Medicago truncatula: one gene and its partner. The protein of the gene in region 1 binds, or shares a complex with, the protein of each later gene. Links are inferred from orthologs where the notes say so. Each region holds a gene or a part of one and is shown on either strand. Other genes may lie near its edges.

Region 1 (7,054 bases):
ATCTAGCAGAACCAAGCTCCTCATACTCAGCCTTGGTCACACACATCGCATCAAAGTCTGGACTCGATGCCAGGAGAGATCCTCCACGCCAAACACCTAGTAGGGGACTATAGAAGAACCGTTAATTCATATAGAAATTACAAACGTACAAGAAACTAAATAGGCTAAGAAAGATGTTTACTCTTCTTGTGTAGCTATCTTCACACGATAGTCATCAGGAACTAGAGGCCGAAGCTCCTTCTCTCTACAAAATTTCATAATCAATTAGTTAAACTTGTAAATCACGCTATGAAGTACACATAAAAGATAGGACACCAAAGTGGCAAAAAATAGGGGTCTCTGGAAAAGGCAATATTGCCAAACAAACCAAATTTGAAACTGAAGTAAATCACAGATAAAATAACCAAACCATTTCACCAAATAGATAAATCAAATCCGTTTATTATTCTGATTTGGATTTCGTAAATAGTCCAAACACTTTTACTCTCAAATTCCAAATCCAAAAATTGTGATCTAGATATGTTATTTCTCAAATCACGGACTACATTCCACCAGCCTCGCCCAAGTTCCGAAACTGGTACATCTCATTTCCCTCCCCTATTTCATGTTTGGTTCCCAAAAATATCCATCCATGTAAGAGAAAAATTAATTCCATTATTAATTTCTCGGCTAGTTAATTTTCTGGTTTTCCCTTTGCTAGTTTCAAGGCTCAATTTTGTAGCAACGTGCATCCAGCATATCACAGTAGAGCAAAGATCTGCAATATTGCTTATGGTTTTGGGAGCTTGCTGCTGATCTCAGAGGGAAAGCTGGAATTTGAACCGGTGAGCTTTCACAATGGGGATACCGGTGGTGTTGACAGAGGGAAAGCCGAAATTTAATAGGGAGGAGGAGTACTATGAAGTGGCACGTCGGAAGTGGAAGGTGGTGATAGCCTCTTTTGAGTTGAGGCTTGATTACCTTGGGAAAACTTCACATCATTGAGTGAGGTTTAAAATAAGTTGTGAAACTGATTCTATACCAAAACAAGTTTAAAATCGGCTCACCATAAACCAAATCAGTTTGACGACAAAATAAAAAAGTTCAAATCTAAATGCTTATCCATAAAAATTTGTAAAAATATTTGGTTTGGTATCAAGAAACCAAACAAACCATGCCCACCTAACAAAAAAAATTATGGTAGTATGGTACAAAGTGTTGTAGCCGAAACAAAAAACTTACAATCTCTCGGCAAAATGAGGAAACAAGGTGCTTCCACCGGTTAAAATGATGCTGCCGAAGAAAGTAAACACATCGTCAAAATACGAGGGTGAGAAGTAAGAAAAGGCAACAATTCTCAAACAGGGTCATGAAATCAAATGGTTGGAAATCAAACCAAATTTACCTTTCATAGAGTACAGGATGGAGATGCGGATGACAGGCATTAACTGCTCGTACAATGCATTCTGGTAGCCCAGCCTGGTTCATTCCTGCAAATCATTTCGTTCAGCATTTTGCAGAGAACATAAGAAAAACCTAACACGAAGGGGTAAATAATGAAATTAGACTAAGATCCTCATTTGCATCCACTTAGGAAACTCATCAACCAAATATTTAACTAAAATTCCAATGTTCTGTATTACATTCTACAATTGTGATTGCAACTACAATATTAAGATTTTATAGACACTTTACATATACACATCACATCCGCGACACATCTTCCCCAACCGAATATAACATTTCACAATTTCATGAATCATAAAAGGACAAAGCCTTATTGAAATCATGTTGTGCATCTAATCTAATTTGAAAACAGCACTAGAATGAAACTACTAACAAAGACATACCCAAATCAGCTGGACGGAAGATCATCTCGGGGACAAGAAACCGCTCATTCGTCAAATCAAATTCCTAGAGAACACAAAGCAAGAAATAGTTAATAAAATCGATACAAATGAATGTGAACTTAAAAAAACAAAATTCCAACAAAACAAATACATTTTTTGTCAAATCAACTTTGTGTCTATTGTCCTGAGGTTGTTGTTTAGAAATCTCCTCGTGATCACCGATATCGTCCTTACCATCAGCAAGATACCTGCTTGCTTGTTCTGGATATTTAACAAACCCTTTTGTGTGCGTAACACCATCAGGAAGAACATACGTACACTTGAAAACATTGTCTTTCCCACTCTTTCTAGCAAGGTTAAGGTGTTTGTCGACATCAACAGAAACAAAGCAGAGATTCTCCTTAACATCATCAATAATAAAAGTTTCATCCATGACATTAACAGAACGAAAGGAAATAAGTTCCTTGAGGTAATTGGTCAAGGCTTTACCACCTAAATCGATACGCTTAACAGCGTAGTTAAGAGTAAAGTTCTGAAAGACAGGCGAAGCGTGTGTGAAGGAAAAGCCAGAATCAACAACGAGACTGCATTGGGCTTTAGAGAGAAGGCCATTGGGACGTTGGCTAGTTTCGTAGAGATGAACAAGGGAAGGTGAATCAGCAACGAAGAGAGAGGAAAAATTGAAATCTTCGAAGACGAGTTGGTGGAGAGAGTGTTGAATGGAAGGGAGAGTGAAGAGGGGTTGAGTGAGGAGGAGAGAGGATTGAGAAGGGTTGATGCGGAGGATAGAGGTGAAAAGGTGGGACCAGATATCGCGTTGGAGGTCGGGGTTGATTAGGTAGCCGCGATCGATGGGGCGGCGGACGGAGGCGGAGGTGAGGTCTTGTTCGGAGGAGGAGGAGGAGGAGGAGGAGGAAGGGGTGTTGATAGGGTTTGGGTGCAGCCATTTTTTGGAGGTGAGGGGTTTATAGAGACAGTTGGGGAGTATGGTTGATGGGTCGCGTTCGCCGCCGAAACCGGCTTTTATTAGTCCTCCGCCGTTGTCTAGAACAACCACCTGCGTGCTTGACGACATGTTGTTACTTGAATTGGTTGCTTACTCCCTAACTTGTGGAGTCGGTTTATGAATTATTACACTTTCATTTTTAAGGTAGATGAATGAATAATCGATATTCGATTAGTAGCCCGTTTGGATTAGCTTGTTTTAGAGCTTACGTAAAATAACTTATGTAAATAAATGAGTTTTTATGTATTATATATAAGTTTATAAAGTAGTTTATGAAAAACCGTTTATGAAGATACAATTTTTGTTAGTAAAAACTTATAAATTAAAATAAAACCTTATCTATTTACATAAGTTATTTTTCATAAGCTCGAAGCACATGTGGCCTAGATTAGTGAAAACATCCACAACTTCATCCAGTTAGCCGGGTTAAAAAAGATGGGTTTGTCAAGCCATATATGCATATACGGGAGCAGACCTACCGGATCAACCCACAAAAAAATATTGAAAACAATTATTAGGATTTTTTTTAAAAATAAACTATATTCAAACGTTTAAATGAATGGTACATTGATGCAATACAAATTCTAAATCTTTAAAAACAAAAAGAATAAATTGGTGAACAAATTTTCAACATTTATGTAAATGGGAGAGTACATATATGTCTACAAATATAGTTATATTTAAGTCTTGGGTTAAGAGTACTTTACCCCATCCCCGTGAGCTTAGCTCAGTTGGTAGGGATATTGCATATTATATGCAGGAGCTGGGGTTCGAACCCCGACACTCCACTTCTCCACAATTAAATTGTGTGAGCTCTAGCCACAAGGCTACTTGACCAAAAAAAACAAAAGAGTACTTTACCCCCTGTAATATATGACACTTTTGGTTTTGTCCCCTGTAAAAAAAAAAATTAGATTCGATCTTTGTCAAATAAAGATTCTTCAGATTTGCCCCATAAGGCCATTGACTCAGCAGAATCTTTGATGTGGCACTTACGTGGCTTTTTCTTTTTATTTTTTAATGTTTCGAAATTTTTAAAAACTAAAAAGAAAATTAAATTTAAAGAAACAAAAATATTTTTCAAAAAAACTGAAAATTAATTTTCAAAACATTGAAAAATTAGAAAAATAAAATTCTAATTTTTTTAAATATAAAAAATAAAAAAATATTCTGATTTTTTTTCAGAAATTAAAAATAATAAGAAAAAAACATTTAGATTTTTTTTAAAATTTAAAAAAATAGAAAAACGTTCTTATTTTTTTTAAAATTAAGATATTTAAAAATTATGGAATTTAATTTTCGAAATTATAAAAAATTCTGACTTTTTTGAATTAAAAAAGTTTTTTTATTTTTTTCTACAGAAATTAAAAAGTCTGGAAAATATTTTAATTTTTAAAAATCTGGTAATTTTTTTAAAAATTCCACTTCAAAATATGAAAGTAAAATTTCAAAAATTATATAATCTAAATCAATTCGATTTAATTATAATTTTTAAAATCTTAACTTCAGATTTTTTTTCTAAAATGTTAAAATTAGAAAGATTTCAGATTATTATTTTTGAAAAGTTTATTCTTGAATTTAATAAAATCTTGAAATATTGTTCCAGAATTTTGATTATTTTTTAATTTTTTAAAATCTGAATATAATTTTTTTTAATTCTAATCAAAAAATCTTAATTTCAGTTTTTTTTTTCTTCAAAAAATTTAAATTTAGAAAAGAATTCAGATATTTTTTTGAAACTTTTATTCCTAAATTTTTATGAAATCTTTTTCAAAATAAAAAAATCATATTTTTTTCAAAATTAGGAAGATTATTTAAAAAAATTATGGAACCTAATTTTAAAAATAAATAAATTTGAGATTTTTTTTATAATTTTTTTCCTAATTAATTCGGTTTTTATAATTTTTGAAAATTAATTTTCATATTTTTTAATGAAATCAGATGTAGATAATCACTAATACACATGGCTAACAAAAAAAAATTAAAATTTTAAAAAAAAATTCATGTCAACGCCACATAGGAGATTCTGGTGAGTCACATAGCTTAGGGGGAAAATTTGAAGAATCTTTGTTTTACAAGCAGGGCCGGCCCTAGGGCATAGGCCGCGAGTGCGACGGCCTAGGGCCCATGCCGGTAGGAGGCCCAAATTTTTTTTAAGGTAAGGGGGTGTATATAGAAATATTTGGATTTTGGGGGGTATATATAGAAAATTTCTCTTCAAAGATCCAAACTTTGACATGATAAAGGAATGGGCTGACATTTGTTAGTATTTTTTGCCCTTTTAGTGAGATTTGCTATATATATCCCATGTAACACAATTTTCTATATACACCCTCCTATAAAAAATTTGGTTGTTCTTGATAATATGCTAAAAAATTTATTATCGAAGAAATTGGTGATATTTTTTTGGGCCCTTTGCTCCTAATAATGTGCTTCACTAATATTAAACATATCGACGATATTTATTATCCAAGAAATTGGGATAATTTTCGTAACAGCAAATTCTATTTTAGTTGAAAATAGAGTGCTAAAATTTCAGTCTACTTCACATGTGCTACTTTTCTCTACTTTTATGGTATTTTTATTTTGTTTTGGTGTATATAGAATATTTAATTTATTTTCAAATGTTGTCTTAAAAAAACATTTATTTTGTTAGAGAAAAGCAAAATAAAAAAACGAAATGAAAAGCAAAAAAACACAACAATGAGCTAAAAAAATTATGATGCATTATGTAAGGGCCCTTTTTTCATATTATGCCTAAGGCCCGTAAAACTCTAGGAACGGGCCTGTTTACAAGGACCGAATCTAAAAAAAATAAATTATAGGGGGCAAAACCAAAAGTGCCCTATATTACAGGGGGTAAAGCACTATTAACCCTTAAGTCTTTAGAATACTCACGACTCTAGATCTGCAACGTTGACAACATCAAAGTCATTGATTGAATTTGTATTTAATCAAAGTTAGTCTTTTATTTTGAATCAGATAAACATCACACTAAGATGAGAAATAAAAAAATACATCACACAAAGATGAGAAATAACACACCACCTAAGGAGTGTCTTTTATACGTCATAAGAAGACTTTATTAAAACTGATTTGGATATTTTCATGTTCTTTTTGTTCAATCATCTATCATTTTCATAATCCAAAAGTGGATTGATCTATAAATGAAAAAATATAATAAAGAAGAGAGAAAAATAAGTTAAGTGAATGGCCAAGCTTATGGTATAATGGGCAACATGAGAGAATGAGCAGGGAGGATCCAAATCAGTTAAAAACCTAGTCCATTTTTTTTGTTATACATGTTTTTGGGTTTTCTTATGACCGGTTTAATTATAGCCAAGATTTCTAATAATATTAGGAATATATGCTAATATCATTAGAGTGAGTTGGCTAAGCGACTTTGGTACGGGTGACATAGACTGTGTATCAGTGGAGTGAATGTTTCTTTAAGGATGGGATTTGATTCAGATGGCAAAACAAAATTCGAAAATTAATTTGTACCGCACGGTTAGGTAAAATTGGCCCGAACACATTCGAACCAAACACGATTTTTTGCAGTTCTCAATTTCAGTTGTTTTTGTTTGCAATTTTCTATTGGCTGGTATGTTTTGAACACCCCTAACGACAATAGCGTCAACTAACAAGGCTGGTGAAAAACATGGAGGCAACTCATGAACCATAACCAAGGTATCCATACCATTAGCTTCCAACTTTGTTAGAACATTTACACAAACATTCCCCTTTTGAAGATTGCGGTGGAGGGTAAAATTTCAATCCGTCTTCATGTAATCTCAAATAATCTCCAACATTTTAACATAATGTTGAAAGCAATATGAGTCCATAGTTGCTAATTACATCATATGAAATAAATCAAAATAGCAGGAAACTTTCTAAAATCAACTTACCAGCAAAACCTCAAACTAACAAGGAGTGTCTGGATCTCTACATGAAGCAAATTTGACCAACCTATTGTCCCATATAATCTAAACTAAAAAGTTCCACCATAATTACGCATAAGACCCCTAACCAGTGCTTTCCTTGGATTAGTAAGAGCATTATCATTCACATTAAGCATTAAAGTGTCGTGATCACATTAAGTGAATCGATAGATACTATACAAAGTGTTACTGACTGATCCAAGACCTAATCTGATTAGGTTCAGGTCTGACCCGAGCCCTAGAAGCAAGCGACACCATACGATGAACACGCCCTAAAT
Region 2 (7,884 bases), on another chromosome or scaffold:
CAATTTGAAATGACTTTAAATCTTAAATCTATTCTACCAATTTGCCTATTTTTTTTAAGATTAAATCACTTGCAAAGGAAACCAAACTTGAAAAGCATGTGATGTGCACAAGATATTGTAGGGTAAAGAAACAATTATCAAGTAGTCCAAATTGCACACTATGTGCCTCTCTCATCCTAACCAGGGTAGTGAATAATAAAGCAATAACCACAATATTGGGTAAGTGAGGCTCTTACTTGGCAGGCAAACCAGTAATCACGCAAACAGGTTGTTCTGGATCTGAAAAGAAATATCAATATATCGTATAAGTAAAAAAACAAATGAAATAAAAAAAAAAATATAGTTATTTAGCTACATAGAATTTCCTGATGCTGGGTACTTTTAACTCTTCTCAATAGTCTTTCAAGTTTTATCACATTTTTTTTTCGTCTCCCCCTACCCATTTGTAAGGGTTACCAACTTGCCATCTTTAACCTCACTTGTTATGAAGGCATGTGGTGGTAGTATGATATATGATTTGTCAATCATTATCTATATAGTAGCTACCCTAACTTTAAACTAATTAAACCATCAATTTTTTTTTTGTATCGAAGCTTTTCCAACTTTTTCTCTAACGAATTCAATTTAAACCTATCCATCTCAGTATGCCCACTCATCCCATACTCCATTCTCATTCCTACAACCATCATCTATGCTCATGATTGCAGTTTATTTCCCAACATTTCTGATCCATACATAGTTGCAAATCTTACTAGGATTTCGTAAAACTTTTTCTACTTAGAGGCGCATACAAACACCTGAAGCATTTCTTTACTTCAACCTGTCCTGTTTGGATATTGTGGGACATTATTATCAATCCTTTCTTTTGTAAGATAGACCCTAATTATCTAAAACACTCAGTTCTGGGTGCTCTTCCTTCCTACTCATTTTTTACTATACATACTCTCGTCCATCCTTCTTCCTAAACCTAACTAATTTTTGTAAATTCGGTATTTGGACAAATCAGGAGAAATCCCTTGGTCTCCAAAACATTTATGTTCAACTGCATCTTAGCACTTGTTATAATGTCATCAGTCTAATCCAGCAAAACGATGCCATCTGAAACAAAGCCTCTACCAAGGTCCTTCATTTGGAATATGTCCAGTTATTGTCTATAAACTAATAACAATAAGTCAAACAAATAATGTATTGTGAAAATCAATGCCGTAACAATTTCTTTGGGAATTTAATTTCACACTTTGAGAACTTTATGAACAAAGAAACAGAATATATTACATTCTTCAACAAAAAAATGAACCAAAATATAGTGCTAGCATAAAGGGACGCACATTCTTGAGGTGTTGTGGCAATATCTGAGTGAAATGATGCCCCTTTAGTAAACTCCAAATACGAACAACCTGGAAAAATTAACAGATTGCTATATGTCAAAATGGCAAGAAACCAATACAATCAAACTAAATGCACATGGAATACAGCATCCAACCATTTTGTGATATGTAGTGTATCTGTGGACCATTAAAGACAGTTTTATGCACAATTGCTCTTCTCTTAACTTCTTCCTCTCTAGCTAAAACTCGCTCCAAATTCCTCAAGTTCATAATTTCTGCATGGCCAAAATCATAATTGAAACATCACAGGATCTTTAGAAAACTAAAACAAACAAACAAGCAAAGAAATCAACAAGCAGATGTTGTTTTCTAATATTGACCTGTTTGAGCAGCTTCTAAAAGCATCTCCTCTTGTGACATTTTCTTCTCCTCGCCTTTCTTCCTTATTACTGGCTGAGCCAAAAAAAAAAAAAAAAAAACATTTTCAGACCATAATCAGGTGTTGTTTGGAACTTAGGTAAACAACCTAATTCAGCGCTTCTAACATAAATGCTTATCATATAAGTGCTTATGTATAGTCTATTTCTATAACAAAAGATTAAAAATATTGACAACTGTTTTCATATAATAAGATAAAATCCATTTACACAGGGTTTGTTAAGATTGCCTTATTTTATCTTGTCTACTAGCATAAGCACCTGCGATATTGTTTAGAAGAACTTATGCCATGTTCATAAGCTGTTATAAGCTTATTTCAATAATCTTTCTGGAGTAACTTGTGATAACAGCTTATAGCTTATACAAAAGCAGTTTCACTTCATTTTATCTATTGTTGTGATAAGGTGCAAATTAAGTTGTTTATCCCACTGGATGAGCACGAATACAGTAATTCAAACAAGCATATAATTGAAAAACTGATATAACATGAAGAATTGAAAATAAACCCTAAGGAATCACAGAAAAAGAGAGTGGAGAACCTTATAGGTTGCTTTGAGAGCTTCACGAATGGCTTCTCTTTCAGCTTGTCGAACAATGACGGAAGTTCTTGTGGACTTCCTAATCATTACCTCCTTCGCATCATCGTCCTGGTTGTTGTTCTTGTTGTTTTTATCATCATCTTGGTCATCATCACCATCAATTTTGGGAGGATCATCCAAATTAGATAAGATTTTCTTCTTCTTCTTCTTCTTAGCCGATGTCGTTTTCCCAGGATATACCAATCGCTTCTTTTTATTCATTCTTTCATCATCGTTTTGTGGCTGCTCCTCGTCAGGTTCAGGTTCCTGAGAAAATCAAGAAGAATTAGTTTAATAGAATTGAATTGAATTAACTAATCGATGTGAATGAGTTTGAGAGAGAGAGAGAGAGAGAGAGATACGTCTTGATCGAAATCAGAGTCAAATTCGTCAGCGATTTCAGCTTCTTCTTGGTAGTTATCGTCTTCGTCTTCTTCTTTGAGAGCATCCTGACCCCAGAACAATTCATCTTGTTGAACTTCGTCGTCGAGAAGCTTGGAAAGACGTTTACCTCTTGTCGCTCGAGATGCACGATCCAGGAGTAGAAGATTCGATCTCTCTTCTTCGCCTGAATTTTTTTCCTCCATTGTACTAACTCGCTTGCACTCTGCTACCTTCTGTTCAGTGTTAACAGTTACGCCGGAACCTTCTTTTCTTTTGTACAACCCACTCTCACATATTCGAGTATTTTATTTATTTTTTGACAAAACATATTCGAGTATTGAATTTGAGGTAATAGTCATTTTCTTTCGGTAACAAATACCACAATAGTCTTTCCTTGTACACTTAGTTGGTCAACATTAACAGTTTTTCAATATAGTTGCTTGCACTTATTTATTGTTGGACGGACAACCTCAAAATAAAAAGAAGAAGCGTCAAATTATTTTGAATAACAAAATACACAATAATCATACTATTTTGTAAGAGTGAAGGACTATTTTGATTAGTCTCTACACATTTTAGAACCAAAATGATTATTATATGGTTGAATTTGCCTTGTATTATACTACATTGATTTTTCATAGAGTTTTGGTAATCAATGTCCTAAGGACATTGTTTAAGGATTTTATTAAAGAAAATTTTGTTTTGAAAATACAAGTTGTTCATTTTTTCATAGTGATCGAGATTCTTTTTTTTTTTTTTTAGCAAAGGCAAAGCTAATTCATTTCATTAAAAATTAACGGATACAAAGTAGGTGTTACATGATGAAAGATATAGGGGCTAGGGTGAGATAGTGATGCTCTAGCAATACTATGAACAACTCTATTTGCTTGCCTCCTAACATACGACACTACAAAGTCGGGTCTATTAAGAAGTAACCTTCTACATTGAGTTACAAGATCACCGAACTCGTTGATGGGAATAGTGGTGGCAGCAATAGCATCAGATAAGATTTTTGATCGAGATTCTTATATCCCTATAAGTTGTTCGTCTAATCAATGCAATGATTACGCAACTTTTTATAAATCTACTACTTTTATACTTCAATCAATGTCATATGAGCACTCGTTAACGTTACTTTTTTTTATAGCTTGTTAACTAGTGCCCTTAAGACACTTGTCAAAGATTCTAAAATACAAATAACTGGTAAGTTTTATGTAAAATAATTAGTTTTTCTTGGTTACAATGTATTGAATGTATCAATTCTAATACGAAAATTCTTCTTTGTACTTCTTAACAATTGTCTTTCATTTTCCTTTTTTATATGGAGAAATGATATTTGTACAAACATTTTGGTACAACTTTGTATAATTTTATCTCTCATACTCACATTATGATCTTATTCTCTCTTTATTATTTTTGACCCAATAAAAAGAGAGAACAACAAGGTTGTCCCAAAAATTGTACCAAAATAGTTGTTCAAATATCATCACTCTTTTATATAATAGAAATAGAATATCTCCACACCACACAATTGAACAGATTAATCTCATTCAGCTAAATATTTAATTATTATATATTTATTACGATTATAAATTGTCTCTCAAAAATATTTAGAGAATTTTTGTTGACACATCGCATAAGGCTGAGGCACACGAGTAATTTACATTTTTGTCCCCTCGACAGTGCTGAGGAATTCAAAAACCGGCTGCAGTTAACTGCCGAGGAAATCCTCAGTAGTTAACTGCCGAGGAATATGTTTCATCAGATGAAACAGTCATATGCTCCCCCTACATACTATTTTCATCATCAACTTCAATACCACCTCCATTCAATCCCCAAATCCAATATTTTTTTCATCAAATCTTGATCTAAAATCATTCAAGCATCAAGCATAGGAGGTATCAATACACTTTTGACGTAAAAAAACAGGTATTGAACATTTTAATCAGTTCATTTTTTAGTTTTGTTATGGATATCTATGTCAGTTACGTAGAACTCTGTCATGGGAAACCTCGGCAGTTAACTGCCGAGGAAAACTTCAGTAGTGTAGTGCCGAGGAAAACCTCGGTATTAAGGTGCCGAGGAACTCTTGTGAAAAATTTTCACAACAAAAAAATGGCAGTTACTGCCAGTTTTTCAAAAAAAAAAAATTGTTTTTTTGTTTGTTTTAATTCATTGTGGCATTGATGTTTATGCATTAGTTAGTTGTTAATTCATATTTATATGTTGTTTAATTATAGTAATGGTAGAGAACGCGGAAGATGTTCCGGGAAAGACAAAACCAAATTTTGTCGAATTTTCCGGAGATGTCAAACTGCCTAAGGTTGAAGTGAAACCAAACATTGATGGAGCTTCCGTCCATGTTGAAGCTTCAAAGTATGTTGGCGGCTCCGGTGTCCTCCCACTTCAAGCCCACGAGGTCGACACGACTAGGTTTTTTTCGGACGACGTTAAGTCGAAAGATAGAGAAGAATTGCTTGAGTGGGCGCGTCGTCAAGCAAATAAGGCGGGATTTACAATTGTTACACAAAGATCAAGCTTGATCAATCCAATGTTCCGCCTAGTGTGTTAAAGGAGTGGAGCGTACAAAGTGTCGGAAAAAAACCGAAGCATGCGAGAATGGGCTCAAGAAAATGTGGGTGCTTGTTCATGATTAGTGGATATCAAAGTAAGCAAACAAAGGAATGAGGATTGAACATTCTTAACGGAGTTCACAACCATGCGATTGAGCCAGCTTTAGAAGGACACATTCTTGCCGGTAGACTAAAGGAGGACGACAAGAAGATTGTACGTGACTTGACCAAGAGTAAGATGCTTCCAAGAAATATTTTGATACATTTGAAGAACAAAAGACCACGTTGCATGACAAATGTGAAGCAAGTGTACAATGAACGTCAACAAATATGGAAGGAAAATAGAGGCGACAAGAAGCCGTTGTAATATCTAATCTCGAAGTTGGAGGAGCACAACTATACTTATTACTCAAGAACACAAAGTGAAAGTACTACAATCGAATATATCTTTTGGACTCATCCAACATCCGTTAAGTTGTTTAACAATTTTCCAACGGTTTTGGTTATGGACTCCACCTACAAAACCAACATGTACAGGATGCCAATGTTTGAGGTAGTTGGGGTCACTTCGACCGATTTGACATATTTGATTGGGTTTGGATTTGTGACGCATGAGAAAGAGAAAAACTTTGTTTGGGTTTTAAAAATGTTGCGTAAACTTCTTACGTCAAAGATGAATATGCCTAAGGTGATTGTGACCGACAGGGATATATCTTTGATGAAAGCGGTTGCAAATGTTTTTCCCGAAAGTTATGCAATGAATTGTTACTTTCATGTGCAAGCAAATGTTAAACAAATGTGTGTCTTAGATTGTAAATATCATTTGGGAAAAAAGGATGGGAAAGAGGTGAGTAATCGCGATGTTGTCAAGAAGATAATGAGGGCATGGAAAGTTATGGTTGAATCGCCCACTCAAGAGTTATATGCAAATGCATTAGTGGAGTTCCAAGATTCATGTAGTGATTTTCCACTTTTCAAAAATTATGCCATGATCGCCTTGAATGAAGTGAAGGACAAAATTGTGAGGGCATGGACATACCATGTGATGCATCTTGGTAGCAGGACCACCAACGTGGTCGAATCGGCTCATGCTTTATTGAAGAAATATTTGGACAAATGTGTGGGTGATATGGGTACTTGTTGGGAGAAAATACATGACATGTTGTTGCTTCAGTTCACTGCGATAACAACCTTTGGTCAGAGCGTTAGTGTGTTGGAACATAGATTCAAAGATGTCACTTTGTACTCCGGGTTAGGTGGTCATGTGTCTAGATATAATTTGGACAACATTGCTTTGGAAGAGACACGTTGTAGGGAAACATTGTGCGTGGACAATGAAATTTGTGGTTGTGTTCAAAGGACATCTTACAAGTTACCATGTGCATGCGAAATTGCTACTAAGCTCCTTGAAGAGAAGTCAGTTTTATTGGATGAGATATACCACCATTGGCATATGTTACATATGGGCGAAGAAAGTAACGAAGTTGGTTTTTGTGTCGAGGTTGAGTTGAAGGCTATTGTAGAACGTCTCAAGAAACTCCCTTTCCAAATGAAGCTTGAAGTCAAAGAGGGTTTGCGGCAGTTGGCATTTCATGAAACCACCATGATGTCTCCACCACCACGAAAAGTACCAACCAAGGGAGCCAATAAAAAAGTCGACATTGCGAGGTCTAAAGGAAAAATTACATCGACTAGTCGGATCCCTTCTTCGTGGGAGGTTGTTGATTCCCAAAATCCGGATAGTCAACCGTCACCATCACCAACAACATCGTCATATAAAAGGAAAAAAGGTGCTCGTCTTGGTAAAACATCGCTTAACCCACTTCCACCACCTACTCGGTATCCAAAGCCTACGGGTATCCCGGTTATGAGGCCAATTGATTATATGCCACGTTTCATGCTTCCATTTATTGAAAAAGTGGTGGATGTTATTGGCGATGGACATTGTGGATTCCGGGCTATAGCCGAGTTCATGGGCTTGACAAAAAAAAAATCATCTCATGATCCGTACACATCTTATTCAAGAGTTGATAGATCATAGAGATGATTATGTTGAAGTGTTTGCAGGTGAGGATCGTTATAACTACATTTTAAATGACTTACATCCTCCCGCAAATACAAAAAGTTGTGCACATCTTGTTGATAAGTGGTTGACTTTTCCGGACATGGGACACATTGTTGCTAATTATTACAAAAGGTGTGTGGTCGTGTTGACAAATCTTGAAGTTGGAAACTCGGAATCTTTTTTCCCACTAAGAGGGCCACCACCGTCGGGTAATCAAAAAACTCCCATCTTGTGTCTTGGGGCAATTCCGAATCATTTCATGCTTATTTATTTGAAGAATGGTTGTCCACTACCTCCATCATCTACGAAGCGGCACAATCACAAGAAAGAAGATGCGGTGACTTGTGAAGATGAGTATTTGGATCAACATGAGTTGTTCTGAAAGCTCATGGCTATTGAAAGTGGAAACAAACCGCCGAAACCACAAAAGGAGTCAAACAAAGCGGCACCTATTTTGTTGGACACTCCCGAAAAACCAATGCAACAATTTGAAGTTATTGCGGAAGATGAGGAAGATT

What was found. Proteins that work in one complex are often made in the same cells at the same time.
Region 2: actin-related protein 6 (region 1) and SWR1 complex subunit 2 share a complex: the UniProt entries of both Arabidopsis thaliana proteins name them as parts of the SWR1 chromatin-remodeling complex. The link is inferred for Medicago truncatula from reciprocal best matches to the Arabidopsis thaliana genes ARP6 and SWC2.

The regions. Positions count from the first base shown.
Region 1 is NC_053043.1:24,224,006-24,231,059, reverse strand, and holds the start of actin-related protein 6, read right to left. Parts: upstream 3,005-7,054; 5' UTR 2,905-3,004; coding exon 1,981-2,904; intron 1,894-1,980; coding exon 1,830-1,893; intron 1,470-1,829; coding exon 1,385-1,469; intron 1,273-1,384; coding exon 1,222-1,272; intron 245-1,221; coding exon 182-244; intron 108-181; coding exon 1-107. UniProt on the Arabidopsis thaliana protein: Component of the SWR1 complex which mediates the ATP-dependent exchange of histone H2A for the H2A variant H2A.F/Z leading to transcriptional regulation of selected genes (e.g. FLC) by chromatin remodeling. Binds to the promoter region of FLC chromatin.
Region 2 is NC_053049.1:37,156,083-37,163,966, forward strand, and holds the start of SWR1 complex subunit 2, read right to left. Parts: upstream 3,045-7,884; 5' UTR 2,932-3,044; coding exon 2,707-2,931; intron 2,612-2,706; coding exon 2,306-2,611; intron 1,782-2,305; coding exon 1,709-1,781; intron 1,604-1,708; coding exon 1,484-1,603; intron 1,398-1,483; coding exon 1,329-1,397; intron 280-1,328; coding exon 237-279; intron 1-236. UniProt on the Arabidopsis thaliana protein: Component of the SWR1 complex which mediates the ATP-dependent exchange of histone H2A for the H2A variant H2A.F/Z leading to transcriptional regulation of selected genes (e.g. FLC) by chromatin remodeling.